Linked DNA regions of Stegostoma tigrinum. The protein of the gene in region 1 purifies or fractionates together with the protein of each later gene. This does not show direct contact. Links are inferred from orthologs where the notes say so. Each region holds a gene or a part of one and is shown on either strand. Other genes may lie near its edges. The genes, in order: ctnnal1 and adra1d.

Region 1 (16,314 bases):
CAGTCTAGGCAGCAACCCATAAGCACATCCTTCGTCAAAAAATGCAATTCAGCAAAACAGCTATGATTCTTATGCACTGTCCACTTCCAATCCAGAAGAAAGAAACAATCTGCTTTATTTGATTTTTAAGAGGAAGCCTCACTATCTGAGACTTCATTCCAGCTGAGAGCTCAAACTTTTAGCTCAGCAGCCAGCAGAAATTTTCAACTAAGTGAAAATCAAACTGAAAGCAAAGCCCAAATCCCTTGGTTGTGTGAGCCTGACCCTGCCCACTCATGCTCCTTTTGTCTAATTTTAAAACAAAACATGAAGGTTTAACTCCAAACTTTTACCAACTGTCTATCTGAAGCAGACATTTTATCACCACTATGACAATACCTCTCTGTAAGAGCAACAGCATAGAACATATCCCTCTTAAAGTACAGTCACTCATGTGCACTGACTAGAATGTCATGAATTGCGACAGAGCGAATCTTTCATTAGAGACAAACAAACAGTATTGAGCTTAACCTTAGGGTCACCTTGCCTCAGGCAAAAGGTAGAGTTGACAAAATGGGACTTTAATGGTAACTCCAGCCAGCAGAGGAATTGAATCCATGATTTTGATCAATCTGCATCACAAGCCAGTCATCCAGTTAACTGAGCTAGTCAACCTTCAAATGTATCATAAACTTGACTACCAATGGGCACAGGTACTTTCAATCTCTGCATGTTACTCACTTCTCTCACGTCTCAGGTGTTCTACACCACCAGTAGAAATTCTCTGTCATTATAAGGTGGAATCAATTTAGGGCAGCTCAATAGGTCAGCCTAACTATGAGGGAGGATCTGGTCCACCATGTCAATAGCTGAAGGAAGGACAAGAATGATGAGGAAGAAAAGTGTACCCAGCTTAAAGAAACAGGACAGAATTTGTGATTTTAACATGGATAATTGCAGTTTTAGCTCAGGTGTTGAAACTGGAAAGAATTGAGTCAAACATGGAGTCATGGGAAAGAGGGTTATGTCATTAATATGAATAATAAAAAGTTAGGACACCAGAACTAAACTTGCTCATAATCACACATTATATCTTGTCAACCAGAAAGCAATTTATGCTGCCTATTTCCTAGCTGATCTTCTACCCAGTAAACTATGTTACAAAAACAAAGTTGCTGGAAAAGCTCAGCAGGTCTGGCAGCATCCGTGGAGGAGAAAACAGAGTTAATGTGTCGGGTCCGGTGATCCTTCCTCAGAACTGAGGGATGTTGTTACCCCCTACACCATGAGCTTTTATTTTCCTCAATGTTCTTTGAAGTGACATTTTATTAAATACCTTCTAAAAATCTAAGTACAATACATCTACTAGTTCCTCTTTATCTCCAGCACATATTACTGTCTCAAAAACTTCAATAATTTGGTAAAACATGGCTTCCCTTTCACCAAACAAGGTTGACTCTACCAGATTACCTCAAACTTCTCTAAGTGCCCTGCTATAACTTCTTTAATCATAGGTTTTTAATATCATCTCTAAGACAGAATGTAAATCTCACTGAATGTAGTTTTCTGCTTTTTCTCATTCTCCCTCTTTTTGAATAAAGTAGTTACATTCACTATTTTCCAACCAAATTTAAATTTGCACAGTTTGGAAAATTAAAACTAATGTCACAGCCGTGTCTTTAGACAAAAATGGTGATTCAATTTCTGCATTGGCTGAGGTTACCATGAAGGAGGCTTCAACTCAACCTCTCCCCTTACCTGAGGTGTGGCGGCCCTGGGTTAAACCAGCACTAGTGGTGGTATCATTGATAGCAAGGAAAGTTATCAAGAATTACAGGAGGACCTTGGTCAGATGGGGAATTGGAGTGAGGATTTGCAAATGCAATTTAATACAGATGAGTGTGAGGAGTTGCACTGAGGAGTCAAACCGAGGTAGGACTTATACAGTAAATGGTAAGGTCCTGAGGAATGTTATGGAACAGAGTGATCTAGGAGTACAAGTACATAGTTCATTGAAATCAGCATCACAGGTGGACAGGGTGGTGAAGAAGGCATTTAGCATGCTGGCCTCCATTGGTTGAAGCATGGAGTATGGGAGTTGGGACATTATGTTACAACTGTGTAAGTCATTTCTGAGGCTGCAATTGGAGTATTGTGTACAATTTTGGTCACACAAATTTGGACTGGAAAGTGTGCAAAGATGATTTATGAGGATTTTGCCAGGAATAGTATGCCTGAGTTGTATGGAGAAGTTGGCCAGGGTAGGACTTTATTCATTGGAATGTAGGAGAATGAGAGATGACTATATTGAGGTATATAAAATCATGAGCGGCATATATAGGATGAATACACATTGTATTTTTCCTATGGATGGGAGTTGAAAACTACAGGGAATAGGTTTAAGGTGAGAGGGGAAAGATTTAAGAAGGATCTGAGGGGCAACTTCTTCATGCAGAGAGTGGTGCTCATGTGGAATGGCTGCCAGAGCAAGTGGTTGAGGCAGATACAATAACAACATTTAAAAAAAAGATTTGGATAGGTACATGGATGGGAAGGTTCTGGAGGGGTATGGACCAAATGCGGGCAATTGGAACTAGCTGAGTGGGCACCTTGATCAGCATGGACCAGTTTGGGCTGAAGGACTTGTTTCCATGCTGTATTACTTTTTGACTCTAGTCAACTCTCTGTAAGAGAGAGCAACCCTGTGGTCCTGTAGGACTATGACAACTTTATCCTCAACTTTTCATTATACAGAAAATATTATAAATGAGTTGGTCCATTTGAATAACATCACAAGTATAGTATTATAATTTAGTTATTCTACCTGTGGCATGTTGTTTTACTGTTGATCAAAATGTGAGGAACTGGAGGTAACAAGGGAAAAATGCGTTCTCACTTTTACCTAGAATTTATATGTGGAATATATATGTGGTTGCTGGAAAACATTGTCACTTTAGAAAACATGTGCTTAGTTATTAATTTCACTCATTGGTAACTACCCATTCACTAGAGTGATGCTTAAAGTGAACTCTGTCCATGCCATTGATGCACACACATTCTGCTTGTTTACTTACAGCTGCTACTTAACTGCCAGGTCATCTTTTCATCTGCTGTGGTTTCTCCCTTTGACATCCTCATGTCTTCTTTCCAAATTTTTAATCCCACTTTGTACTGACACCACAAATATTCTGAAAACCACAAGTTTCTTTTTAGTTATAATTCTGTGTTACTGTGGCACTGCACACTAAACAGCTGGAGTACTTCAGACTGTTTAGAAAAGGCTAAATTGTATACTGCACTGAACAGTTAAAAGATTTACTTTTAACTTCCAAAAAAATGCATTCCTGAAGCAGCTTCTACAATACAAAATTCTTCAAAATATTTATAAGTGACAAACGCTGAATGGGAAGTAGCTGTGAAGTTGGGGAAGGTCGCCAAATTTATAACTGATCTTTTAGAGACAGCAAGAGCTGCAGATGCTGGAGTCAGAGATAACACAGTGTGGAGCTGGAGGAACACAGCTGGTCAGGCAGCATCAGAGGAGCAGGAAGGCTGATGTTGCGGGTCAGGTTGTTTTCTTTATAACAGAGTGAGGGCTTAGAGAGGATGACAGGCGATTGAAGGGTCAATAACGAGGGGACATAATTTTAAGATAAAAGACAGAAGGTTTAGAGGGGAGTAAAAGAAAACATTTATTCACCCAGAGAGTAGTGGGAACCTGGAATGGACTTACTGGTAGTTGAGGCAGGAAACCTCACAACCTTTAAAAAGTACTTGAATGAGTATTTAGAATCATAGAATCATACAGCACAGATGAAGTCCTTTGGCCTATCAAGTCTGTACTGACAAACATACACCACTTCTTACACTAATCACACAAGGCCCACAGCCTTGAATGTTATGATACTTAAGGTGCTCATCTCAGCACTTTTTCAAAACATTGTGACGTTTTCCTCCTTGACTACCCTCCCAAGTTGTGCATTCCAGACCCTGCCACCCCCTGACTGATAAAGGTTTTCCCCCAGTTCTTCCTAAACCTCCTGCTTTTCATTTGAAATTTGTGTCCCCTTTCTATTGACCCTTTGAATAAGGGGAGAAGCCAATTTCTATCCATTTTGGTCATGCCCCTCATAATCTCATAGACCTCTATCAATCTTCATTGCTATACTCTCAGTTACATGCATGATCACCTCCTCAAAAAAATTCTGCCAGATTTGTTGGACATGATCTCTCTCTGACAAAGCCATGCTGACTGTCTACGGTCAAATCTTATGTCTCTATATGGATATTAATTTTGTCCTACAGTATTTTCTCCAAGATTTTCCACTGATAGTAGATCCATTACCTATAGTTCTCTTACCTATCTCCACTTCCTTCCTGTAAAGTTAAATTGCATTAGCTATCCTCCAGTCCTCTGGCATCTCCCCAGTGGTAGAGATGGTTTTACAATTTGGGCCAGGGTTCCTTTAATTTTCCCCCTTGTATCCCAGGCTGCTCTGGGAGACAACTGGGATATAACTCCCATAGACCACTTTTAACACCGCTGAAATCTCCAATAGCTCATCGATTCTGATATCAATCTGCTCAATAACTTCATAGTCCATCTTTGAAAATTCTGTACTTGCATTTTCCATCATCTGAGTAAAGAGAAATGTGAAGAACTCATTTAACATGCTACCAATGCCCTCCAGCTCCACACGCGGTTTGACCCTTGGTCCCTAAAGGACCCTACTCATTCCCTGGTTATCTTCTTTCCCATGATATATTTGTAGAATATCTTGGGAGTCTCCCTAATCTTGTCTGCCAACATTTTGTCCTGCCCTTTCATTGCTCTCATAAATTCACCCTGCATTTTCCATACTTCGACACCAGTGGATCTCCTATAGCGTTAAAGTAGTTTTTGTTAGTGCAGACGCAATGGGCCAAAAGGCCTCTTTGACGATATGATTCTGCTGTCAGTTAGCATCTTCTGGGCCTGCTCAGTCTGGATGAATGACCTTTATTGTCACTGTCTAGACTATAAAGAGCAGGACATCCAGGTCACACAGTTGTGCCTTCTACTATCAAAGTCCAATATTTGAGATGTCTTCCCTGAGGCTCTCTGTTTATCTTGCTCATTTTCTTCCTTTAGGACACTCTTTGAAAACTAGCTCTTTGACTAAGCTTTTGGTTTTCTGCCCTCATTCTTCTTTATGTTGCTCAGTGTCAAATGTATGATGGTCCTGTGAAATGCTTTTGAACATTTAAATATGTTTACAGTCAATGGAACTTTGAACATAGGGCTTACGAGCCAGAGTAAGCAATTCAATCATTTGGATGATCTAGCTGTGTTCTCAACTTCACCTTTCTATCTTCCCCCATCACCCGAAAACATCTAACCTAATTAATTTCCCTTTGAATAAATTTGATGACTGAGCCTTCACCACTTTCTGGGGAAGAGAATTCCAAAGATCAATGACCCTTTGAAAGACTAACATTTCTCCTCATCTTGGTCTTATTTTTAAACTGACTCCCCTAATTCTAGTTTCCCCACAAGTTTAAGTGTAATCCTTCTGGTATTCAGTCTATCAATTCCCCCAGGATGTTTTGTGTTTCAGAAGATCACCTCTTATTCATCCAAACTCCAATGGAGATGATCACAACTTGTCCAACTGTTCTTCCTAAGATTAATTTTCTTCCAAAAATGAGACAAATGATCCTTCTTGGAATTGCTTCTAACGGCACTCTATGGCTAAAAGTTGCTCATACTTATTCCCATTTGACATGTAGCATTTGATTTTGAGCACAACAATGATCTGGCCTCAGCAACAGCATCCAATAACGTCACATGCATTCCCTTGTCAACACAAATTTGGGTGGTAATCTAACTGAAAGTATTTGACATCCTAAAAACATTAATTTTTTTTCACTCATTCACAGGATGAGGGAATCCCTGGCCAGGCCAGCACTTATTGCCCATCCCTAATTATCCAGAGGGCAGCCAAGAAATAATCACTGCTGTGGATCTGGAATCACATGTAGGCCAGACCAGGTAAGGATGGCAGTTTCCTTCCCTAAAGGACATTAGTGAATCAGATGGGTTTTTCTGACAATTAATTCATGCTCAACATTAGACACTTAATTTCGATATTTATTGAGTCCAAATTCCACCATCTGCCGAGTCCCCAGAACATTACTGGGCCTTTATATAAACAGTCCACCAATAATACCACCAGGCCATTTCCCGCTGAGATAATGCAGAGGTAAGTGCCAAGGAATAATATTGTCTGTTGAAGGAATTCAGACAAGGAGCAACATTTGTAGATTCATTACAGAGCGGTCATGTTAGTAAACCTCTGATCCAGAGAAACAGAGTGACAATCCAGAAATACAAGTTAAAATGCCATCATGGCTAGAGAATTTAAATTCAATTAAATAATTGCTTGTATCAATAATGGGGACCATAAACCTACAAGAGCGTTATAAAAATGTATTTGTTCATGAGTGTCATTAAAAGAAGAAAAGAAAAAAAGAAGAAAATCTGCCACCTTTTTCCTGTCTGGTCTATTTATGGCTTCAGACACACAGCAAAAGCAGTGACTATGGACTGGCCTTTAAAATGGCTTCATAAACCATCCAGTAACATTCAAGAAGATGGTTTGCCGTTATGTCCCCACCAAAACTATTGTCAGACTTGACAGTGACATAGGCATTTTATGGATAAAACTGAAAGTAAATGATGCAAGAGTGATCGCAAAGTCTAGTTGAAAATGTGGAATTCTTATGCTCAAAATAGCCACAGAAGTAAGTGTAATCAGATCAATTTTGAATTGTAATTAACTGCATTAATACTGAGATTAACAGATTTTCATTAGGCAAGGGTATCAAGGGACGTAGATCAAATTTTATAAATAAAAATGAGATATAAATTAACTGCAACCTACTGGAATGTTTGAAGAATCTAGAGGTGCGGAATGGCATATTTGTGTTGCTGTTATAGTAGTGAGTGCTGAATCTATTTTAAAAAATGGCTCTCTTTTGGCAATGGCAAAGTAATATGGATGCTGGAAATCTAAAATCACAGAAAATTCCAGAAATATTGGACACATTTGACAGCATCTGTGAAGATTGGGGTACACAATTAACATTTCAGGTCTGTGATCTTCCAATGAAACCTCCCTTCTGCTTCATCTTAGTCATTCTCACACTTCATGGAATAGTTTCTTTTGGTGCTTTTTCAAAAAAATGTGCAGCACTGTTCTCCACACTTTCACCTTTGTTCAACTTATTTTCTAGTTTCCAGACCACCTTCTCAGACTGAATAATGCTTTTGTTAGTTTGCTATTACTCTCAAATTTGATCACTTAGAATTGAATCCGGGTCTCGGCCCGAAACGTCAGCTTTTGTGCTCCTAAGATGCTGCTTGGCCTGCTGTGTTCATCCAGCTCTACACTTTGTTATCTGGGATCTGTGAGTGTATTGGTTAAATTATTCCAAGAAGACAGACATAAACATCACTTCTGTACTATATTTTGCAGTGATATCAAAATTTTCAAATACTTATGACTGGGTACAACAACCATAATTTAAAATATAACAGAAATTGCTGGAGAAACTCAGCAGATCTGGTGGCATCTGTGGAGAGAAAGCAAAGTTCAGTTCTGTTGAAGAGTCACTGGTGTCTCCAAGCGTTGGCCCTGCTTTCTAGAACATAGAACAATACAGCACAGAACAGGCCCTTTGGCCCTCAATGTTGTGCCGACCTGTGAACTAATCTAAGCCCCTCCCCCTACACTATCCCATCATTATCCATATGCTTATCCAAGGACTGTTTAAATGCCCCTAAAGTGGCTGAGTTAACTACATTGGCAGGCAGGGCGTTCCATGCCCTTACCACTCTCTGAGTAAGGAACCTGCCTCTGACATCTGTCTTAAATCTGTCACCCCTCAATTTGTAGCTGTGCCCCTTGTACAAGCTGAAGTCATCATTCTCGGAAAAAGACTCTCACTGTCCACCCTATCTAATCCTCTGATCATCTTGTCTCTCCATAGCTTGCCGAGCTTTTCCAGCAATTTCTGTTATTGCTTAAGATTTCGAGCTTCCGCAATTCATTTAAACCAGTATCTTTTAAACCAATGCTCCCACCACAGTTCTGAGCCTTGTTGGCCGACAAAGTCTTGTAGTTATAGAACATAGAACAGTACAGCATAGAACAGGCCCTTCAGCCCACAATGTTGTGCCGACCATTGATCCTCATGTATGCACCCCCAATTTCTGTGACCACATGCATGTCCAGCAGTCTCTTAAATGTCCCCAATGACCTTGCTTCCACAACTGCTGCTGGCAACGCATTCCATGCTCTCACAACTCTCTGTGTAAAGAACCCGCCTCTGACATCCCCTCTATACTTTCCTCCAACCAGCTTAAAACTATGACCCCTCGTGCTAGCCATTTCTGCCCTGGGAAATAGTCTCTGGCTATCAACTCTATCTATGCCTCTCATTATCTTGCATACCTCAATTAGGTCCCCTCTCCTCCTCCTTTTCTCCAATGAAAAGAGACCAAGCTCAGTCAACCTCTCTTCATAAGATAAGCCCTCCAGTCCAGGCAGCAGCCTGGTAAACCTCCTCTGAACCCTCTCCAAAGCATCCACATCTTTCCTATAATAGGGCGAACAGAACTGGACGCAGTATTCCAAGTGCGGTCTAACCAAAGTTTTATAGAGCTGCAACAAGATCTCACGACTCTTAAACTCAATCCCCCTGTTAATGAAAGCCAAAACACAATATGCTTTCTAAACAACCCTGTCCACTTGTGTGGCCATTTTAAGGGATCTATGTATCTGCACACCAAGATCCCTCTGTTTCTCCACACTGCCAAGAATCCTATCCTTAATCCTGTACTCAGCTTTCAAAGTCAACCTTCCAAAATGCATCACCTCGCGTTTATCCACGTTGAACTCCATCTGCCACCTCTCAGCCCATCTCTGCATCCTGTCAATGTCCCACTGCAGCCTACAACAGCCCTCTATACTGTCAACGACACCTCCGACCTTTGTGTCGTCTGCAAACTTGCTGACCCATCCTTCAATCCCCTCATCCAAATCATTAATAAAAATTACAAACAGTAGAGGCCCAAGGTCAGAGCCCTGTGGAACCCCACTCACCACTGACTTCCAGGCAGAATGTTTTCCTTCTACTACCACTCGCTGCCTTCTGTTGGCCAGCCAATTCTGTATGCAGACAGCTAAATTCCCCTGTATCCCATCCCTCCTGACCTTCTGAATGAGCCTACCATGGGGAACCTTATCAAATGCCTGTTTCCCGTCAGGGAGCAAAAGGATAAGATTATCACTGCAAATCTTCAAAATTTAACAAGACCAGATCCCGTTTATGTGGGATTGAAGTACAGTAAAACATACTTCAAGAAAAAAAGACAAATGGCAAAGTGGTTAGACCAACCTGAGCACAGACAGTGAGGGCAGCTGTGTTGCTAAACACGTCTGCAAATCAAAAATACAAACGGAAACAGATTTAAGCTAAAACCACCTCCACCAAAAAAAGATTGAGTTTTTTTTGCAGTTACCTATCTTTGGCAAGAAGTGTAAGGGAAATTGGTTTCCGATTGATTTTGCGAGTAACCTTTCTCAGGAACCCAGCAGCAGAGTGCAGTAACCAGCCTGAGGCTGCATGTTTTGTGAATATGACCCCGGAGTTGGTGTTAAAGTTGAGAAGAAGGGTGCGGGGCATGGCTCTGGAGCGATGCTGTGTGCCTGGGGCTGCTAGGGTCACCAGCAGTGGCCGCCGCCGCTGCTTCCCTTCCTCTGAGCACCACACTGCAGCTCGCCAATGAACTCAATGGCATTTGCTGTTTTGAAACCACGTTTTAACGAGAAAACCGTATGTACCACAGTCAGAGCACCAATGAAAACTCAAATCCCAACACTGTTACCTCCCCCATCCCCTCTCAACACTTTCCAGAGCTCCTCCTACAGCCGGAAAGAGACGCAACTCCCTCTCTCCCGCCTCTCAGTCACTCGGAGAGGGAGAGGGAGAGAACGAGATCGGCTCTGCATCTGCAGCCGTACCAGCGGACTCAGCGGTATCATGGCTTCTTCCCACTGCAACACCGATCCCGGACTGGAGATCAAAACCAGGTCGGTGGAGCAGACCCTCATCCCCCTGGTGACTCAGGTATGTGTGCTGGAAAAGGGAGGGCGAGAGAAGCGCTGGACTGAGTGAGTGAGAGGCAGGGGGATCTCAGGGCAACGCAGAATGAAAGCTAGGCAGGAGACCCCTCCGGGTAAATGAGCAGATTCCGGGTCGCCACATAGGGGTAGGGGAGCAGGGGCATCTCTCCGACACCCCCTTCAAGTAAAAAGAGAGGGACTTCTGACCCCCAGCCCCCTCCACCGAAGGTATATCAATGAGATTGTAAAAGATCTGAGACTCCCCGAAAGCATGCGGAGAGACCCACATTAAACGAACTGAGTGGCTCCCAGAGCTACGTGAATATAGAAGTCCTGGGACCCTCAGAAGCATGGGTGATGTATAAAATTAATCCCTTGGCATCTTCAACGGTTGGGATTTTAGTGTTTTCAGGTGGGTATAACTACTCAACAAACTCATTCCCGCACTGTTAGGAGAGGTGATGGATTAAAGTGCCCTGTGCTGGCAGCCCCCTTTTCCCATTGTACCGTGCTCAAAGCTAACGTGCAGCTCTGTTAAAGACCTCCACTCCATGTAGCAGGAGAGGATGGAGTGGTTATTTTATCCGGAGGGAACCGTTCTGACAGCACATTGCAGCCGGTGAGAGGCCACACGCGAATGTACTGCCGCCCCACAGGGACATGTAGACATACAGGAAAAAGTACAGAGGCATGCAGTTCACAGAATGGAGCCAGTGTTTTACTGGAAAGTTCAAACTCAGTAGCTTTCGGAGAGAGCAACACTGACTTTCACCGGAGAACAGGGACGTATTGTTTCCCGTTTAACTTCCAAACCGAACACAACTTCGTCATGACAAATAATGCAACGTCCACAAATGTGTATTGGGAACTTGCTGAATGTCCACTCGTGATCCGCTGATGGTTTTTCGCTCACATCACTCTGTTAAATCAACCAGCACAACTCTGCAAGGCTGAGCTTTATCGAGCTCTGGCCACTTTTCTACCGGCAGATGCTTTAAATTGAAGCATGTGCTCATAATGTTTGTTTTGCAGTTTAAGCTTTTTATGACACCTTTGTCTTAGTTGTCCTTTTCACCAGCAAATCGCATAATCCCGCTGTTATGTGTATATAATTAGGCAAAGAAAGAGAACTTGGGTTATTGAAAGAAACCTCTTAAGATCACCAAATTTTCTCCTATATATCAGATTAAACCATATGCTTTGATAGATTTTTGAATTCTGATTTAATTTGTTCTTGTAAGATTAATTTTATTGATGTTGTTTAAATCGTTGAAAATGCAGTTCAATAGATGTTCTGAGCAACACATGAGAAAGTGGACCAAGCAAAATGGATTCATGACATTTTCCATGAATGTGAACATTGTACTACAGTATTGTCTAAACATCACATTTGCAATGGATGTAAATATTCATTTCCTGTCACAAATTAAGCTTTCTGAAAAATGCTACTGCTAAGCTAATGGCTTTCAGTGTTATTGATGTACACATATTACAGTGACTTCAGGCACAATGGAACATGGACATTTGAAAGTTGCTACTGGGGTGCTGTTGCTGCACTGTTCATCTCATTATCTGGCTCATCATTGAACTGTGTCAGATAGCACAAAATTCTCACTCTCCTGTAGATTTTAGAATCAACTAAGCAGAGAAAGTTGTCTTGACCATTTTAGCCTCCGTACCTACTTATGATGTGTTAACCATGATCAATCAACTTCTCTAGCAATGAAAATGGGCTATTTCAAGTGTGAGTTTCATTCATTCAGATTTTCCTTGTTGAAGAAAATGTAAAACTTAAAACAGCTTGCACTGTTCCTTTTTTGTGTTCCTACCTCTGTCCATTTTTACTTCTCTTTTTATAAGTTTTACATTTTCTTCAACAATGAAAATTTCTTCTACTGCACCCAATATGAATTTCCCCATTCTAACCTGTACGTGCTTCTCAGTCTTTGCACTGTGAATTTCATAATCTTCCATTCTGACTGGGTAATATGATGTGCAGCTGCTTACAGTTTGAGCCAGGTCCCAGATACTCTGCTGAAGTATTGTCAGATCATACTTCCAGTAACTGGCTATGCACATTTTTAAAAACTCACATGTTTAAGAACAAAATTCATGTTTGGCAGTTACTTTATATGTGCTGTGGTACAGCAAATTCTGGTTTGTTGGGACAGAAAATGCCTGCAAAAGATGCACAAATAATTTTTTAAAATTTGAGTTAAATTTCAGTGGAATATGAATATTTGGCAATTTCTATGAAAGTTTCTGACTTACTATTTTCTTGTACATTGAAGGAACATTTATGTCAGAATTGAAAGGGAAGAGTAGAGAGGTCATTGAGAAAAAGCAGATATTTAGAACTTAGAGTTTATATTGTGTTGTGGCGTTGAGAGCTTGGCCTTTTGAGGAGCTTCAATTCTTTTCCTTTGGTCCATTGCTTAAATGCAATTTTATTTCAGCCAATACGACCATTGGTAGAAAGCAATTGCCCCTGTGCTCAATCACTCAAGTTTGCACTGAGTACTCTTTGTATTGTACTATTGAAATGTGATTATAAAATGTATGTTTGAACAAGCAGCATTTATAGTTGTAACATGAAAACACACTCATTTTTCTCGTTATTAAAAATGGGTGTCTGCATTTATTTTCCACATAATTACAGAACTTGACTTGAGTCTTCCATCACATAGCCCTTGGTCCATCCTGAAGACTTATTAATGCTAGTACCTGGAGCAATACTGAGATGATATACAGTACTTTGAGTGCTACTAAAATTTGTAGCTACTGCAGGATATCTTGCTGCGTTTTAAGATGTACAATGAGACATGATGATGAGATTTGTGTTGTGATGTACTCATTATGCCTTAGTGTTGAAAATGACAAACAGATGCCAATGTTGCCTAGAAACATTGAATATTGCCATGATGGTTCTTCGTGCATCAACACTGCTAGCAATTCCTGAAGTGTACTTGGTGACAATTTTTACATTTGATTATCAGTTTGACAGGATTATTTTCAAAGGGCTTTCATTCAAACAGCAACAAGACTATGTGCTTCAATATGGATTGGTAGCACAAGACTTTACAGATGCCTGCATTCATACATTGCGCATTATTGCTGTTTGATTCCACTCCCCTCTAACTTATTTTTGAAAGTTACTTTGGAATCAGTTTCAAATCAGGAATTTCAAATGTGTTAAAAATAACTCTCTGGCTTTTCTTCCCGCTTCAATGCATATCCAAGAGTATTTACACATACCTAGAGGACACAAAAATCAAAATTCTGAAAGTGTTACTCAAATTGAGTGCAATAGGCTGGTCAGTCACAGTGTTGAATACTGATCTAATACAATTTAAATTTAAATCTACACTTATTCCAGAATAAAGTCCTTGATATAAACTGTTACGCTCGAGAGAGTACTCTACATATACACATTAATCTTGGGGGAATGAGGATTGGGTTGTGCTGCGTGTTGTTATGATCTGGAATTCATAACCTGAAAAGGTGGCAAAAGCACACACAGTAGCTGTAACTTTCAAAAGATAATTAGCTGTATATTCTGACAAAATTTCCAAGACTATCACAGAAAAGCAAAGGGATAGAATAACCGGATAGCACTTTGAAAAGTACCAGCATAGACAGCTTTGGGTCAAAATTGCTACCTTCTTTGCTCAGTAATGTGGCTCACTATTATTATATTGTGCTTAAATGTGTTGAGGTTGGTTGGCTGGCTGAGCTGGTTTGTTGTTCTGCAGATGTTTCTTTACCATGCTTGGTACCATCCTCAGTGCAGCCGCTGTTGAAGTGTCGGTGTGTTTTCCTGCCTGGTTTGCAAATTCTGGGGTCCGTTGCGATGGATTGCCTCACTTCCGGGTTTCCTCCATGGTGGAATGTATATGAGGCCGAGTTCAATGTGTTTAGTAGTTAAATAATCCATTATTTTGCTGAGTTTTCCAATTGAGTTAAAGTTATAGCAATTCTTATTTCTTTTGTTTGTATTTTAAATGAGGGTAAGAATGTAGAGTTTTTTTTAATTCGAGTAGTGTAACCAATCCAATTACATCTGGAATACAGCACCTTAGACTTGCCTTTTAAACAAGATAAAAGTTGGGGTCTAGGCTATCTCCTTGATATATTTAAAGCGGTTTGGTCTGGTCCATAATTGCACCGAAAGTTAGACCAGGTCTGAGTGGCCGAATAATTTCTTCTTACTATTTCTTGTGGAAACTCTGGGGACTAGACCCAGTGTACTCAATCTCTCATCATGGGCCAATCCTGTCATTGAAGATTTCACAAGATTTATTCCAATGTACTTCCCCCAGCAAATGTCTCCATCCTGGATATCAAAACCAGAGCTGTATATGGTACTCAGGAATGCTCTCAAAATATAATTGTAGCAAGACTATTTTACTCCCTCATGCTAATCCCTTTGTACTAAAGGTCAACATGTCATGAATCTTCCTAATTGTCTTGTGCATCTGCTACCAACTTTCTGCATTTCCGCTGTGAGTGCTGCTAAATCTCACTGAACATTGACATTTAAAAAATGTCTATTCTGCCAAACTGATTAAGCTCATCTTTCTCCAGATTTAGTATTGTTGCATCAAGTTTAATTGGAGAATTGTGACTGAATTGATGGTTGTCCATGGAGCTAAGATTAGCCTGGTACTAAACAAGTTTTGCATTTATGACTAGCTGATGGTAACAGTGACAAAAGATTACTGCAGCAGCTCCCTTTTGTTTAGTATCAGTCCCAGATTTCCATAGTAGAAAGCTACATGAACAATTCTTCAATCTGTGGAGCTCTTTATCAGGTAATATCACTTTACTGGAACAACACCTTGCAGGTAGAATAAATGCAGTAACTGAAACATGAAGTGTACTGTGAAAATATACAGTGTGACCGTATTCACCCTGTACAGTTCCATGCATAACCACTGGAGTCAATTTTAATTCATCTGCAATTCTACATTTGTTTCTGTTTGCACCCCTATTTCTTAAGTAGAAAAATGTGTTGGTTCCAACCATAGCAACCCTAAAACTGCAGTTGCTTATTGAGAAGATTATACTCAGACCCGTCAAGGTTTAATAATATTTACTTGATTGCTTTTTGTGGCCTGGATCTTCTGTTCTTTGGATAGTCAAGGGTTGAATTTGGCTTGAAAGATATGCATCTGGGCTACTTGAGTGACCTGATGCACTGATGATGCAGTAATTGTCCAGGATATGTAAACTTCCAAAGGATAGAGGATATTTTAAACCATCTGACAAAGTTCACAACTTCCAGCTAGAGGCAGAGATTTTGGAATATTCTGAACTACGAACCTTAATAGTTAGCCATGAAATGTTAGAGCACATTTTAACTCTTAATTTGTATTAGACTTGCTGATAATTCCTTACTTAAGCTACATATATCTCCTTTATGGACTATAAACTGAAAAACAGAAGTTGGACATTACAAAAAACTCTCCTTTCAGCTATTTGGCAATGAATGTCATGTAGGATTGTTGGTGTCCCCTTTAGCTATGCAAGGTTTGTGATGTAGTGAGATGTGTACTTTGAGACTGTCTCAGAGTTAAGGAAAACAGCTTGATGACAGGTTTCAGGCTTTTCCAGCCGCGCTTTTGTCACAGGCCTGAGAGTGCAATGTAAGCTCGCAAACATTGAAAGTTTTCTGTCCCTTCACTCCCTATATGGAAAATGACCAAAAACCTGGAAACTGTTAAAAGGAAAGAATTCCACAAAAGGGCTAGGTCCACCTGATTGACCAATGCTGTGCGGCTGGATGATGTCATCACTGCTAAGAATCAAAAGAACTTTGAGAAATAACATATCCCATCTTTGTGGTCTGGATTTGATGTACGGAAAGTATTTTTATTTTGTTTATGTTTTTCTACCGTGTAATGTTTGTGTCTAATAGTCTATTTTTGTTTGTTTTTATTTGTGAATGAATATATATGCTTGGGGATTTCAGTCGCAGTTTAAGTCACATCATAGTAACTTGGTAATTTTTCCTCATTTTGTTAAACAGTAATTTTGATTTATAACTAGTTACTTTCCTGTTAATGAAACCTGATGTCATCGAGTCATACAGCTGCCGTATACAAACAGACACTTCGGTCCAAATTGTCCTTTCCAACCAGGTATCCTAAATAAATCTAGTCCCAGC
Region 2 (16,228 bases), on another chromosome or scaffold:
AAGCCACAGTAGTCGAAGGAGGAAAAATGCCTTGATGTGACAGTGGTCACTCTCAACTTGCCTCTTGAGTGCTATTTATAAACCATCAAATAGTAGATGAAATTGAACAGAAACTTTTTTCGACAAATATATGATATTAGTAGCAGGCATCACATAATGCTAGCAGAGATCTGATCTGATTTTATTTATTATTATCACATGTACCAAGATACAGTGAAAAGTATTGTATTGCATGCTAACCAAACAAATTGTAGTTTACATAAGTATATCAGGGTAATATAACAGAATGCAGAATATAAGCTACAGAGAACGGGCAGAGAAAGATCAACTCTAATATATGAGAGGTCTGTTCATAAGAGGGACAGCAGGGAAGAAGCTGTTCTTAAATCTATTGGTATGTGTTTTCAAACTTTACACCCAATGGAACAGGGTAGAAGAGGGTATACCCATGGTGGGGTGGAGGGGGGGTGCGGTGTTGATTATGTTGGTTGCTTTCCCAACGCAGTGGAAAGTGTAGGAGTCAATGGAAGGAAGGCTGGTTTGTGTGGTGGACTAAGCTGTGTTCACAACTCTCTATAATTTCTTCCACACTTGGGAAGAACAATTGCTGGACCAAGCTGTGTTGCATCTGGGTAGAATGCTTTCCATGGTACATTTATAAACATTGGTAAGAGTCATTGTGTCCATGACCAATATTCTTAGCCTTCTGAGGTAGTAGAACCGTTGTTGTGTATTCTTGAACGTAGCATCGATGTTGATGGACCAGGAAAAGTTTTTGGTGGTTCCTACTCATAGGAACTTGATGCTCTCAATTCGCATCCACCCACATCCAAGGAAACATTAACCAAACTAGATAAAAGGACAAAATCAGAAACAAAACTAAGTCTGAAAAAGGGGACCTGTGATTGGATGAGCTGAAGTGGTAACATAGGAGGGGCAGAATCTCCTGATCTTGCTACTAAACCAATCAAAATTCAAAGGGGGATGACATTCCTTTTGTTTTCCACCACCATTATTGAGTTACGAGGGACAAACTGCCTCGTCTCCAGGGAGAATTTTCCCACTGCATCCATGCACTTTGAATCGCCTAATGAACCAGAACAGATAAATCAAGAATGTAAAAAAACTTCCATCCTTATTTGCTCTATGCTACATGTGACTTCAGGCCCATAGCAATGCAGTTTTCACTTACCTACTGCCAGGGCAATTAGACATGAATAATAAATGCTGTCCTGGCCAGTGATGCCCACATTCTGCAAATGAATAAAAATAATCATGAAGTATAAATCACTGTACAAAATGGTGATCAGAAGGTTTAAGGGTAGATTGAGGTGAAGAAAAACAAAGTTACTAGATTAAAAAGGGGAAAACTATGAGAACAAAAGAAAGAAAATTGCAAGAAAGTTTTGAAAACCCAAATCAGAAAATCTGTTGGGCGTTTTTAGAAATGTAATCAATAGAGTTCAAGACAAATACATTTCACTAAAAGCTTAAAACAAGCAAGTTAATTATAGGGCACTGAGGATTAATAAAGGACTTAAGGGAAAATGAAATTGAGACAAAAAACAAGTACTTAGAAACTGAAAGAGAGGAGGACCAAAGGTAATATGAGCAAGTTTAAAAATAAACAAAAATATCAAGGAAAGCAAAGACAAATGTGAAACCAAATTGTTATTAAAATTACAAATAAGTAATACTATTCTACAGATCACCATAAATCTTGTAAATAGATAAATAACAAATTGAAATTAACATAAGCTAACAAATCAGGAAGTAGGGCTGAAAGGATGAGGAAAATAGACTCATAAGCTATGAGGAGAAGTTGGTAGATGCATTAAATAGTTACATTGCCTCCATTTTTAACTAAGGGAGCAATAAGACTTCTGGATGAGTTTGAAAAGGATAATAACAGTCATACAGCATGGAAACAGACCATCCAGTTCAACTAGTCCACACCAACCATGTTCCCAAACCAAACTAGTCTCACTTTGGCCCATATCCCTCCAAACCTTTCCTATTCATGTATCTGTCCAAATGTCTTAAATGTTGTAACTGTACCCACATCCACCACTCCTCCGGCAGTTCATCCCACGTACAAACCACTCACTGGGTAAAAAAGCTGCCCCTCGTTGTCTTTTTTAAATCTTTCTCTTCTCACCTTAAAAATATGCGCCCTAGTTTTGAACTCCGCCACCCTTGGGAAAATACACTTGCTATTCATCTTATCTATGCCCGTCCTGATTTTATAAACTCTATGAGGTCACCCCTCAACCGCCCGTGAAAGATGTCCCCACCTATCCAACCTGTCTTTATAACCATGACCATCCATTCCCGTAACATCCTGGTAAACCTTTCAGAGTCGCCTCCAAATTAATAATATCTTTCCTATAACAAGGTGACCAGAACTGCACACAGTACTCCAGAAGAGGCCTCACCAACATCCTGAACAACCTCAATGTAATGTCCGAAATCCGATACACAAAAGTTTCAGCATTGAAGGCAACGATGCGAAATGCATTCCTTACCATCTTGTCGACATGTGATGCAAATTTTAAAGAATTATGTACACGAGCCCTTAGGTCTCTCTTTTCTACAGCGTTACCCAGGGCCCTACTACAACAATACAACTGAAATAGAGAGGGGAAAAAAATAAAACAATATCAGAAGCCAAACATGGGATAAATTTCCAAGTCATAATGGTAAGCACTCTAAAAAACTTATGGAAATTAGAGATGGGATAGCTGAGTTACTAGTTTATAAAAATACTGGGACTGTAACGGGTACATTGCCAGTGGACATGCATCCAACAAATGGGTTCCATGTGAGTAAAAACAAGATGTGATCTCTAAGGATGATAACAAATTTTGGGGCTGGATGAACACAACAGGCCAAGCAGCATCTTAGGAGCATAAAAGCTGACATTTCGGGCCTAGACCCTTCATCAGAAAAGGGGGATAGGGAGAGGATTCTGAAATAGATAGGGAGAGAGGGGGAGGCAGACTGAAGATAGATAGAGGAGAAGATAGGTGGAGAGGAGAGTATGGGTGGGGAGGTAGGGAGGGGATAGGTCAGTCCGGGGAGGACGAATAGGTCAGGGAGGTGGGATGAGGTTATTAGGTAGGAAGTGGAGGTGCGGCTTGAGGTGGGAGGAGGGGATAGGTGAGAGGAAGAACAGGTTAGGCAGGTGGGGACGAGTTGAGTTGGTTTTGGGATGCAGTGGGGGAAGGGGAGATTTTGAAGCTGGTGAAATCCACATTGATTCAATTAGGCTGCAGGGTTCCCAAGTGGAATTTGAGTTGCTGTTCCTGCAACCTTCGCGTGGCATCATTATGGCACTGCAGGAGGCCCAGGATAGACATGTCATCTAAGGAATGGGAGGGAGAGTTAAAATGGTTCATGACTGGGAGGCGCAGTTGTTTACTGTGGACCGAGTATCGGTATTCTGCACAGCAGCACCCAAGCCTCCGCTTGGTTTCTCCAATGTAGAGGGAGCCACACCGGATACAGCGGATGCAGTACACCACATTGGCAGATGTGCAGGTGAACATCTGCTTGATGTGGAAAGTCATCTTGGGGCCTGGGATGGGGGTGAGGGAGGAGGTGTGGGGGCAGGTGTAGCACTTCCTGCGGTTACAGGGGAAAGTGCCAGCTGTGGTGGGGTTGGAGGGAAGTGTGGAGCGAACAAGGGAGTCACGGAGAGAGTGGTCACTCCAGAAAGCAGACAAGGGTGGGGTTGGAAAAATGTCTTTAGTGGTGGGGTTGGATTGTAGATGGCGGAAGTGTCAGAGGATGATGCGTTGTATCTGGAGGTTGGTGGAGTGGTATGTGAGGGCGAGGGGGATTCTCTTTTGCTGGTTATTACAGGGGCGGGGTGTGAGGGATGAGGTGCAGGAAATGTGAGAGACACGGTCGAGGGCATTCTCAACCACTGCGAGGGGGAAGTTGCGGCCCTTGAAGAACGAGGACATCTGGAATGTGCGGGAGTGGAATACCTCATCCCGGGAGCAGATGCAGTGGAGGCGAATGATTTGGGAAAATGGGATGGAACTTTAGCAGGAAGGTGGGTGGGAGGAGGTGTATCCCAGGTAACTGTGGAAGTCGGTGGGCTTGAAATGGATGTCGGTTTGTGGGTAGTTCGCTGAGATGGAGACAGAAAGGTCCAGCAAGGTGAGGGGTGTGTTGGAGATGGTCCAGGTGAACTGAAGGTTGGGGTGGAAGATGTTGGTGAAATGGATGAACTGTTCAAGCTCCTCTTGGGAGCATAAGGCTGCGCCGATACAGTCATCAATGTAACGGAGGCAGAGTTAGGGCCAGTGTAGGGGCGAAAGAGGGACTGTTCCACGTAACCTACAAAGAGGCAGGCATAGCTTGGGCCTATACGGGTACCCATGGCCACCCCCTTTGTCTGTAGGAGTGGAAAATTCTTGCAAAACTTCCATTCCATATTCCCAATTCCTTCACCTCCGCCGCATCTGCTCCCAGGATGACGCATTCCACTCCCGCACATCCCAGATGTCCTCGTTCTTCAAGGACTGCAACCGCAGGGACCCCGCAGTGGTCAAGAATGCCCTCAACCATGTCTCCCGCATTTCCCGCACCTCATCCCTCACACCCCGCCCCTGCAATAACCGTCAAAAGAGAATCCCCCTTGTCCTCACATACCACCCCACCAACCTCCAGATACAACGCATCATCCTCTGACACTTACGCCGTCTGCAATCCGGCCCCACCACTAAAGACATTTTTCCCTCTCAACCCTTGTCTGCCTTCCGGAGGGACCACTCTCTCCATGACTCCCTTGTCCGCTCCACACTCCCCTCCAACCCCACCACACCTGACACTTTCCCCTGTAACCGCAGGAAGTGTTACACCTGCCCCCACACCTCATCCCTCACTCCCATCCCAGACCCCAAGACGACATTTCACATCAAGCAGATGTTCACCTGCACATCTGCCACTGTGGTATACTGCATCTGCTGTATCCTGTGTGGCTTCCTCTACATTGGGGAAACCAAGCGGAGGCTTGGGGACCGCTTTGCAGAACACCTCTGCTCAGTTCACAATAAACAACTGCACCTCCCAGTCGCGAACCATTTCAACTCCCCCTCCCATTCCTCAGACAACATGTCCATCATGGGCCTTCTGCATTGCCACAACGATGGCATCCGAAGGTTGCAGGAACAGCAACTCATATTCCGCTTGGGAAGCCTGCAGCCTAATGGTATCTATGTGGATTTCACCAGCTTCAAAATCTCCCCTTCCCCACCGCATCCCAAAACCAGCCCAGCTCTTCCCCGCCTGCCTAACCTGTTCTTCCTCTCACCTAGCCCCTCCTCCCACCTCAAGCCGCACCTCCACTTCCTACCTACTAAACTCATCCTGCCCCCTTGACCTGTCCGTCCTCCCTGGACTGACCTATGCCCTCCCTACCTCCCCACCTATACTCTCCTCTCCACCTATCTTCTTCTGTATCCATCTTCAGTCCGCGTCCCCCTCCCTCCCTATTTATTTCAGAATCCTCTCCCTATCCCCCTTTTCTGATGAAGGGTCTAGGCCTGAAACATCAGCTTTTATGCTCCTAAGATGCTGCTTGGCCTGCTGTGTTCATCCAGCTCCACACTTTGTTATCTCGGATTCTCCAGCATCTGCAGTTCCCATTATCTCAGCTCTAGGGGTGAGTCGATTTAACATCTGCGTTATGAAAACGATTGGAATCTATTCTAAAGAAGTGGTTGAAGGTTGTTTAGAGTGACAAAAACAAATGAATTTTGAAAAGCTAAGTCAAATGGAGCCACATTGCTCACAAAGTGTGGAGCTGGATGAACACAGCAGCCAAGCAGCATCTCAGGAGCACAAAAGCTGACATTTTGGGCCGAGACCATTCATCAGATGAAGGGTCTAGGCCCAAAACGTCAGCTTTTGTGCTCCTGAGATGCTGCTTGGCCTGCTGTGTTCATCCAGCTCCACACTTTGTTATCTTGGATTCTCCAGCATCCATTATCTCTGGAACCACATTGCTGTTCCTTCACTGGTGCTGCATCAAAATCCTGGAACTCCCTTCCTAACACCACAGCAGGCTCCCTATACCCCAACGGCTGCAGCAGCACAAGGCGGGGGACATCACCATCTTGTTCAGTGCAATTAGAGATGGGCAACAAATGCTGGCCTTGCCTTTGAGACCAACCCATTAACTTTTTAAAAAAAATACTTTCACACTTTGGACTTCGGGGCAACTTCCTCAAGATCAATAATTGCAGACGATGCCAGACCGTGAGAACAATGAGCAGGAAAGCAAAAGAATGCAAGAGGGTATTAGACGATTCCCAGACCAAGAAGTTACATGGTGAATGAACTTTAGTATAGATGATTTTGAAGTGATGCAATTTGGGTAAGCAAAAGAGAAACATCTCTTCAGTATGAGAAAATAAGAGTCCCCATGGGCTGGATTAATTGAAAGCAATGTTACAAATGAAAAACAATGTTTAAAAATGCTAAAAAAAACTGAGGTTACTTCTGGTGTTCAATTCAAAATTGGTGATGCAATGTTAAATTTGTGCAGAGTCCAAACTCAGGATTCTGGTTTCCATTTTATGCAAATATGTCGGACTATTAGCAAAAGAATGGGAGGTGAAAACGGCATCTCTTTCTCAGAGAATGATTGGCATGTCGACCTCATCAGTGGTTGAGGGACATTGTTTAGAAACTTTAAGAGGTAAACTAAACAAGAAGATGGAATAAGACGGAATAGCTAGATATAGAGAAAGGTTGATGAAGCAGAGGAAATTAAAGTTGGCACCTGTGGAGTAGCAGCCCTAGCACAGGCGAGTTGGGCTGAATGGTCCACGCTCTCTGAATTCATTCTGCGGTGGACTTGCGATCCTTTAACTGAATAAAGCCACTGAAAGGGTAAAACAAAATTCCCAAGGGATGCAGATCCCCCTCCCTGTTGTCCCAGAAATTGCTCTATTATCGTTACAACACACACCCACTTCAGAGGGAATTAACATTTCTGTCTCGGCCCAACTTGCGCTTTACAGTCGGAATCCAGAGTGAGCCCAGTCGGCCCATCGCGCCTTCAACTGTCAAATGGCATCTCACCACGTGTAACCTGCCAATTGGGGTTTCCGGTGATAACAACTTCACTCGCTTCTAGATTAAATCTGACGTCCGCCGCACCCTCGGGCACTGTTGCAGCTCCTGTAATGACTCGCTGCCTGTCTCCGTCCACAGTTACTGCTTTTAGCAGAGACTTTACTTTTCACTGTACTCCTGTATAGAACATAGAACATTACAGCACAGTACAGGCCCTTCGGCCCTCGATGTTGTGCCGACCTGTCATACCAATCTCAAGCCCATCTAACCTACACTATTCCATGTACGTCCATATGCTTGTCCAATGACGACTTAAATGTACCTAAAGTTGGCGAATCTACTACCGTTGCAGGCAAAGCGTTCCATTCCCTTACTACTAAGTAACAATAAAGGCTATTCTTTTCTAATCTATTCTGTTTGTATCGGTTCTGCTCAGTAGACTGTTAGCTGTGGGGCGGTGTATAGTTGAGTGGCACAGCCCGCTTCTGGTTTCTGTTGGATTTACACTCCAGGCGGGGACAGATCAGCGACTTCTGGTATTTCTGTGATCCAGACCGGGCGGGGGAATGAGATTTCAGAAATGTTACTGTGTTCGCGAATTAATGTCCTCCCAGCGCACATTTTAAGGGTCGATTCGCGGGTTGTGATATTGAGGAGATTTACAACACTGCGAGGGTCAAGGGAAAGAGTGGTTTTTTTTATTATTAAGGAGACCAAGCAGAGGATTTTGTTTTCGGACTGACGAGCTGAGCAGCGGCCAGCATTGATGACCTTTCGGGTCGATCAGTGACTTCTTCACTGAGTGTGGGTGCACTAATATCGGGCTGATTTCGGGACTGTCTCCCCAGGGTCTCCCAGACCGAATGGGGCGAGATTTTGAGACAAATCTGGCTCCTTCTGTGCAAATAGCTTTAGATTTTCTGTTCCTTCAAATGGTTCTCGGTAAAATCTCAGCCACGGGACTCCTTAGATATAAAAGGAGCAGGGAAACATGGATTCCAGTCTTCAGCAAATGCTGGGAATCTAAGGAGATTGACCTGAATTATGAGTCAACGATTAATTCCCCGATTTGTTCAGAACAATAATTGTGTACTAATCTGAATCTGCGCTTGTATTCGCTTCATAGACAAACGCGGGACAGAATAAAATTCCGTGTCACGCTGGGCGACCACCGATATCTTCGATGCTAATCATTCATAATGCAACCTTGAGCTACCAATACAGTGTGTTTTAATTCCCCCACTCCTTTATTTATCGAACAGAAATCCCACTACACTTATAATGGTCCCCTGTAAATTGGAATGACTGGGCTCGAGTCTCCCCGGACCTTTCCGGTGGGAGGCATAGATCCAGCAGGAGAGGAGGAAGGGATGGCAGAAAGGAGGGAGGGATGGGGGAGGCAGGAGGGAGCGGGAGGCAGGAGGAGGGGAGATGAAAGAAATCGAGTCCGCTCGCTCAGTCAGAAAGTTAGAGTTAGCTGTTGAAGAGGACAATAACAGGCAAAGCAGCCGAGAGAACAAAGTTAGAGACGATTGGAAGGCGACAGCAAGGCGGGGGCAAGATAGAACAGGAGTCGGGAACTGGGGATGGAAAGATCAGAGAAAAGTCCGTGAGAGGAGCCGGGGACACCAGGAGGTGGGGTGGTGGGGTGAAGTGGAGTGAGGTACAGAAACAAGACGAAAAAAACAGACGGGGACATTGATGGAGAAAGGGTTGAAAGAGATGTGGGCTCGAGAGAAGAGCGCGACACAGAAGCTAAAGAAACGAATGAAGCAAGGAGAGCCAGAGGTCCTCAGCTAGAGGAGAGGGCAGAACATTATCAGACATTTTCCATTCTGATAATTTTCTACACTGGTCAGGCGACTGTTTTCAACCTTCCTGCGTAAAACATAAATAAACAAGTCTGTTCAATGCCATGTTTTACTCGACCATGTCTTGGTCGGAATATTTATTTTACATTAATGTATGTTGCTACAGAAACCCCAAAACGTGCGCTAACAGTTGAGACATTTCGATGAGTTCCGCCTCACCTCTCCTAAGCAAATCGCCGTCTTAGTTATATCGAGACTAATGAAAGCAACGAGTTCCGACACTGAATCATTCACTTTTGAACTGAATTAAAAACAAAACAAATTTTGTCGCTGCGTGTCACAAGCGTATAGCCCGGTTTAAGCAATGCGTTTAATGGAATCAAATTGGCAGAAAGTAATCGTATAATTAAAGTTAATATTAAAGGATTATTACAACAGAACTGGTAATTCCGCCCAGTAATATTTACCTTCCAGGGATTCAACTTGACATCTGGAATACCAATTTCAATTTTTATTCGTTCAGCGGCAAAAGAGAAGAGAAACTGGCTTGTTATTGAAAAACAGAAATGATTTTTTAATGTAATTTTTAAAAAGCGCTAGAAAAATTAACTCAACAAAAAGACAGCAATCGAGCCCCGGCACCAATCCTCACGTGGAGATTCGACACAGCGCTCATATGAAAATTTATGGAGATTTCGGTTCCTTACTTTTACACAGGGCAAGACTTTCGTGAGTTTTCATCAGTGCAGAAGAGGAGTTTTCAGCCTAAAAAGCGAAAACTACAGGTATGGCAGCATCCATGGGGAGAAATCAAAAAGTTTTTAATGTTCCTTCAGTAAACTGGGGATGCTGGCTGGCTCTGGAGGGGTCGGGGGGTGGGGGGGTAGAGCAGCCGACTCTTTGCCGCCCTCTGTCAGTGTCCCCTACACACACACATACACACACAGAGAGAGAGAGAGAGAGCCCGTGACGTTGGGACCATCCCGAGGAGGCGAGGTTTAATGTGATTGAAAAGTGATCTTCAAGCTTCAGCATCCAACTGCTTTGAAGAGATTTTCGTTAGTGGTCAGCGTGGGCGATATTTCTGACCGCTCTCTCGGTTTGTTTCTCTCTCTCTCTGTCTGTCCGAAGGGGTGTGGAAAGACGGAGCAACATTTCTTAACCTGGGCTTGTGTGGATAAAGTGAGCCGCTGAGAGACAGAAAGGGAGAGGGGAAAGTAAAAGTTACAGCGCGAAGTAAATGGGAGAAGGAAGAAGATGCAGGAGGGCTTGAGGGGGTTAAAGTCCAGTGAGGAATGAGTGAGCCCATCCCCTGAGCAAAGCTTGGGTGTGCGGGGCAGGGGAAGAAGTTGCCCAAATCTTCCCCCCACCCCCCCTTCCCCGACACACACACACACACACACACACAATCCCATTCCAATGGAGAGCCTGGCTGCTCTAAGATGACTTGGGAGGAGTGGACGAACCGGAGTGTGGACGGTAACGGCTCGGGGGGAGCCGGCAACAGGTCGAGTGAGGAAGGGGCGGCGGGACTGGACGGCGTGGCCGTGGGGGTGGTGCTGGGCGCCCTGATCGCCTTCGCCATCGCCGGTAACATTCTGGTGATCCTCTCGGTGGCGTGCAACCGGCACCTGCAGACGGTCACCAACTACTTCATCGTTAACCTGGCGGTGGCGGACCTGCTGCTGAGCGCCACCATCCTGCCGTTCTCGGCCAGCCTCGAGGTGTTCGGCTACTGGGCTTTCGGGAGGCCCTTCTGCGATGTGTGGGCGGCCGTGGACGTGCTCTGCTGCACCGCGTCCATCATGAGCCTGTGCACCATCTCCATCGACCGCTACATCGGCGTACGCTACTCCCTGCGCTACCCTGCCATCATGACCGAGCGGAAAGCGGTCTGGATCCTCCTGCTCCTCTGGCTCTCCTCCCTGGTCATCTCGGTGGGACCCCTCCTGGGCTGGAAGGAGCCCGCTCCCGCCGACGACACCCTGTGCAGCATCACCGAGGAACCGGGCTACGCCCTCTTCTCGTCGCTGTTCTCTTTCTACCTGCCCCTCACCGTCATCCTGGCCATGTACTGCCGCATCTACGTGGTGGCCCGGAGGACCACCCGCAGCCTGGAGGCCGGGGTCAAGAGGGAGCGAGGGGGCAACAGCACCGAGCTGGTGCTGAGGATCCACTGCCGGAGTGCGGCCGGGCCGGGGGACGAGCCGGCTTCCACCCTCAGGGCCAGGGGCCAGGCGCCGCCGCCCCTCCGCAGTTCACTGTCCATGCGCCTCCTCAAGTTCTCCCGCGAGAAGAAAGCGGCCAAGACCGTCGGCATCGTGGTCGGTGTCTTCGTCCTCTGCTGGCTTCCCTTCTTCACCATCTTACCGCTCGGTAGGTAGAGCGTGAGGGAGAGCGCGGGATCAAAACGGGGTGGGGAACTTTCTAACAGGGTCAAGCTGCGTGTAAACCAACTAAAAATAAACCAGAATGTTGCTGGATAAAGCTCAGGCAGCATCCGCGGAGAGAAATCAGAGTTAAAGAGTTAAGGGTCGACAAACCTTGTAAATGTGTCTCTGTGTTTGTGTGTGTGTGTGTCCATCTCCGCTTCAGAATTATCAGCAAAGTCCAGATATTATCACATGTCATGGGTCTCAGTAGCTCAATGTCATTGGTTCTGTGTTGCAACTCTCTCTGATTCTGAAACCTTGTGAGTTCTCACCTCTATTGACTCTATCCCACTATTAGGCAGTTCAGAGATTCACTGTGTACCACATGGGACTCGAACCTGGGTTTACTGCCGCTGTGCCATCGCAAACCGAAGGAATACAGTACTATTACATATCACTCCTTGTCCCACCTCACTGTAAATCGGCTAACTCTGAGGGAGACGGTGTTCGGGTTTTGATTTTGAGATCCAGATCACTCATACCCAGATGACGCATGCCGACTTTTCAAACTTCCAACCCTCCTGTCGGTGGCACAGACTTCATTTGGAAGGCATCCTAATTTCCCATCACGTCCTGGCAGGTTAGTCAGCGCTTCAGGCGCCTCGCCATCTTTTCATCGAAGAGTGTCGGGGTGGGTCACGGCTCAGTCAGTCCAATCAATCCTTTGAGTTTTACTTTCCCATAGGTGGGATGGGGGGAGGTGGGGGCGAAGTTTTATTCATGACCTGTTGGATTCTAACTGGTGATCGCCTCTCGAAGGTGGCACGGTACAAGTTTCATTTGCGGGCAGCTCAGAACTAAAATGCTCCACTGTCTTTTTTTTTAAATCAGAAACTGACGTTCCCGCCAAAATCCCGGGAATAGCACGAACTGCAGATGCTGGAGTCTGAGTCAATGCAGTGTGGAGCTGGATGTGGTGGGGTGATGGAGGGTTTAGGCCCTAAACGTTGACTCTCCAGTTCCTCTGATGCTGCCTGACATGCTGTGTTCCTCCCAAAGACTCGCTGCTCAGATTAAATTCAGGCGGGCAGAATGCACTGGGAATGCATAATTCCTGATCTATAGGAATGAAGCACAGAACCAGAATTTAGAGCCCGATGGGAGCCACTCTTCTGGTAGAAATTTATGAGTGGGACTTCACACCTAGGCATTCTATTGTTTTGTTTTAATCACTGGTGAGATGTGGGTTTTTACTGGCTGGCCAGAATTTACTGCCCATTCCTAGTTGCCCTTGTGAGGTTGGTGGTGAGCTCCCTCCTTGAACCTCTGCAGTCCATGTGCTGTGCATTAACTGGTAATGCCTTAAGGGAGGGAATTCCAGGAGTTTCACCCAGCAAAAGTCAAGGAACAGCAATTCATTTCCAAGTCAGGATGGTGAGAGGTTAGGAAGGGAGCTTGCAAGTTGGTAGTGTTTCTATGTATCTACTGCCCTTGTCCTTCCAGATGGAAGTGGCCATGGGTTTGGAAGATGCTGTCTGAGGTTCTTTGGTGAATCTTTTCTGCAGTGTATCTTGTACTCATCTGCTGCTGCTGAGCTTCGGCGGTGGAGGAAGTGGATGCTAGTAGGTGTAGTGCCTATCAAGCGGTCTGCTTTGTCACGGATGGTGTCAAGCTTCTTGAGTGTTGTTGGAGCTGCAACCATCCAACTAAGTGGGGAGTATTCCATCACACTGCTGATTTTGTGCCTTGTAGATAGTAGACAGCTTTGGGAAGTTACTTGTGAAAGTAATCCTGGCCTATGACTTGCTCTTGTAACCCATGTGTTGATGGGGGTGAGTCCAGATGAGTTTCTGTCAATAGTGACCACAAGAATGTTGATAGGGGATTTGTTGATGGTAACACCATTAGAACATAGAACAGTACAGCACAGAACAGGCCCTTCAGCCCACAATGTTGTGCCGACCATTGATCCTCATGTATGCACCCTCAAATTTCTGTGACCATATGCATGTCCAGCAGTCTCTTAAATGACCCCAATGACCTTGCTTCCACAACTGCTGCTGGCAACGCATTCCATGCTCCCACAACTCTCTGCGTAAATGTCAAGGGGTTGTGGTTAGATTGTCTCTTACTTTAGAGAGTTATTGCCTGGCATTTGAGTGGTGCCAATGTCACTGGCCACTTGTCTGCCCAAGTGTGGATATTGTCCAGACCTTGTTGCATTTCAGCATGGACTCCTTCAGTATCTGAGGAGTCGCACATCATGCTGAACATTGCACACAATCATCAGTGAACATCCCTCCTTCTGACCTTATTGAGGAGGGAAGGTCATTGAAATAATTAAGATAGAGACTTGTTAAAGTTGAGTCACATTATTAGGGATTTCAGTTTTCCTAATGAACATTTTCTGCCTTGGTATTACATTTGGAAAGGAACACTGTCAAAATTTAGGTCTGCTACATCTTCAGAGAAATTCAGTGGATAGTTTGTGTGTTCTTAACTGCCCTGTAATTGATTATGTTGTTGATATCCCTAATTTGCTGTTTGGTGTACTTTTGTCTCAGGTGTACAAATAATTGATTGGTATTATAATTACAGTGTACTATTTTGTTTTCTGTGTCTAACTGCATTTATAATATGGCTACAAAACAGAAACCAAATCAATCCATGCTAGCATTTAATCTACAGTTGAGCGTGATCCTGCCTCATGAGTTTTCTTATCTTCCTTTAAATGTAGCGCTATTTATGTCTATTATATCAGCATTATGTTCCACTTTCTTATCATTCTTTGGGTAAAGAATTTTCTCTTCAACTTATTCATTTATTAATCAAATAATATCTTACATTTATAACCTTTAACACTTCCTCACAAATGGGAACATTTTCTCTGCAGCTGCACTATCAAACTGTTTTATCATCTTAAAAGATGCCTAGGAGATTGCTTTTTGAAATTAAAGATCCACTCAGTTCTGATGTCATCCTCAAGAATCTCTTTTGTATCATCTCCGATGTCTTTCTAATCATACTCAGACTGGAACTGCAAGCTTTCTCGTTTCATTAAACTTTGATTCAAGCTGATCATGATTCCTAAGGGCTTTTCAATTCTATCTATCTACAAATGATTGCCTGTGCTTAGTTTGCTTTTTATGATTTTACCAACCGGTATAGTTACTTTTAATAGTTTTAGTCATTCCGTGGTTTTTATGAGGTATGGATCTGTGCTGTTGACTTTTGTCTGATCCTGCATCTCATTCACACTCCAATTATTGAAGGAGTATGTGTCCTCCTTATTTCTGCAACCAAATAAACCACCCTGACACCTATTTATATTCCTGTACTCATTTCATTATATTACCAATTCTCTCAGTTTGTTTATAATCTATATCATTCATATATTTCTCAAGGATAGTTAAGGATTGGCAATAATGCTGGTCTAACCTTAGACACCCACAGTTCTGTAAACAAACAAATACAAAATTGCTCACCTTTATCCTTTAGTAAGTATAACATTTGGTGTCACCTCAAATATGGAGATTGTTCATTCAATTTGCACACTCCTATCATGATGACAATTGCAAACCTCAGTAGCCCCAGCACTTTTTGGGACACCTTTTGCCCACCTGATCCCTTATCTCCTGCAGTTGGATTCTTTACCGGCTTGCTATCCATTTTCTCCCCTGACTTCGGCTACGTTGTGTGTTATTGAATACTTCTTGAAAATGCAAATACGTTAAGTGGACCACAATAGTTTTGTCTATGCTTTCTGTTATGCTTGGAGGATTCAGTAAGGTTGGTTAAGAAAACATCCCCTTTTAAAGCCCATTTGGCATAATCTTTTCTTTTATTTCTGGAGTGAGGATTTTAATTATTTCCTAAACAAACGCATTTAGGGTGTTGGTGGACTAACACAAAACTTACTTTTAGCAGAGTTACAGGCATATGCTATCCTGTTACCGAACTTTCATTTCCTTCATTTCAAGGACACTATACTGCAAACAGACTCCACTGACTGTTAAAGACTCCACGATCTGGAAAGTGCTCAGAAAAGATGCTATAAAAATACAGATTTTTCTTTTCATTTAATGTTCATTTTAGGATAATTGTTTTCTATATAATTCGTGCACTACTTGTATCATGCTAGACTAACTGAAATGCAACAGAAACCAGGCAGACCAACAGAAAAAGGGTGACATTCAGGATTGAAATAAGATAACAAGGTGTGGAGCTGGATGAACACAGCAGACCAGGCTGCATCAGAGGAGCCAGAAAGCTGACATTTCGGGTCTGAACCCTTTTTCAGAAATGGGGGAAGGGAAGGGGGTTCTGTAATAAATAGAGAGAGCGGGAGGCAATGATAGAAGGTGGATAGTGGAGCAGATAGTTGGAGAGAAGACAGACAGGTCAAGGAGGCAGGGACAGGGGGGGACTGGTCTCGAGATGAGATTGGGAGTGGGAAGATTTTGAAGCTCGTAAAGCCCACATTGAGACCATTGGGCTGTAGGGTTCCAAGGCAGAATATGAGGTGCTGTTTCTCCAGTTTTTAGGTGGCATCACTGTGACACTGAAGGAGGCCTAGGATGCACATGTCATCCAGTGAGTGGGAGGGGGAATTGAAGTAGTTCGTGACTGGGAGGTGTTGTTGTTCGTCATGGACTGAGCAGAGGTGCTCCACAAAGTGGTCTCTGAGCTTCCGCTTGGTCTCCCCGATGTCGAGGAAGCCACATCAGGAACAGTGGACACAATAGACCACAGTAGCGGATGTGCAGGTGTACATCTGTTTAATGTGGAAGGTTTCCTTGGGGCCTGGGATAGAGGTGAGGGTGCAGGTGTAGGGACAGATGTAGCATCTCCTGCGGTTGCAGGCAATGTCCCGGCAGCGGTGGGGCTCGTAAGGAGTGTGGAGCGGATGAGGAAGTCACGGAGAGAGCAGTCCCTCCGGAAGGCAGATAAGAG

Evidence for each region.
Region 2: the proteins of ctnnal1 (region 1) and adra1d purify together in Homo sapiens (tandem affinity purification; 3 studies listed by IntAct, with this or other methods). This does not show direct contact. The link is inferred for Stegostoma tigrinum from reciprocal best matches to the Homo sapiens genes CTNNAL1 and ADRA1D.

What each region holds. Positions count from the first base shown.
Region 1 is NC_081355.1:106,359,453-106,375,766, forward strand, and holds the start of ctnnal1 (alpha-catulin), read left to right. Parts: upstream 1-9,961; 5' UTR 9,962-10,065; coding exon 10,066-10,152; intron 10,153-16,314. UniProt on the Homo sapiens protein: May modulate the Rho pathway signaling by providing a scaffold for the Lbc Rho guanine nucleotide exchange factor (ARHGEF1).
Region 2 is NC_081354.1:171,207,159-171,223,386, reverse strand, and holds the start of adra1d (alpha-1D adrenergic receptor), read left to right. Parts: upstream 1-9,911; 5' UTR 9,912-10,345; coding exon 10,346-11,279; intron 11,280-16,228. UniProt on the Homo sapiens protein: This alpha-adrenergic receptor mediates its effect through the influx of extracellular calcium.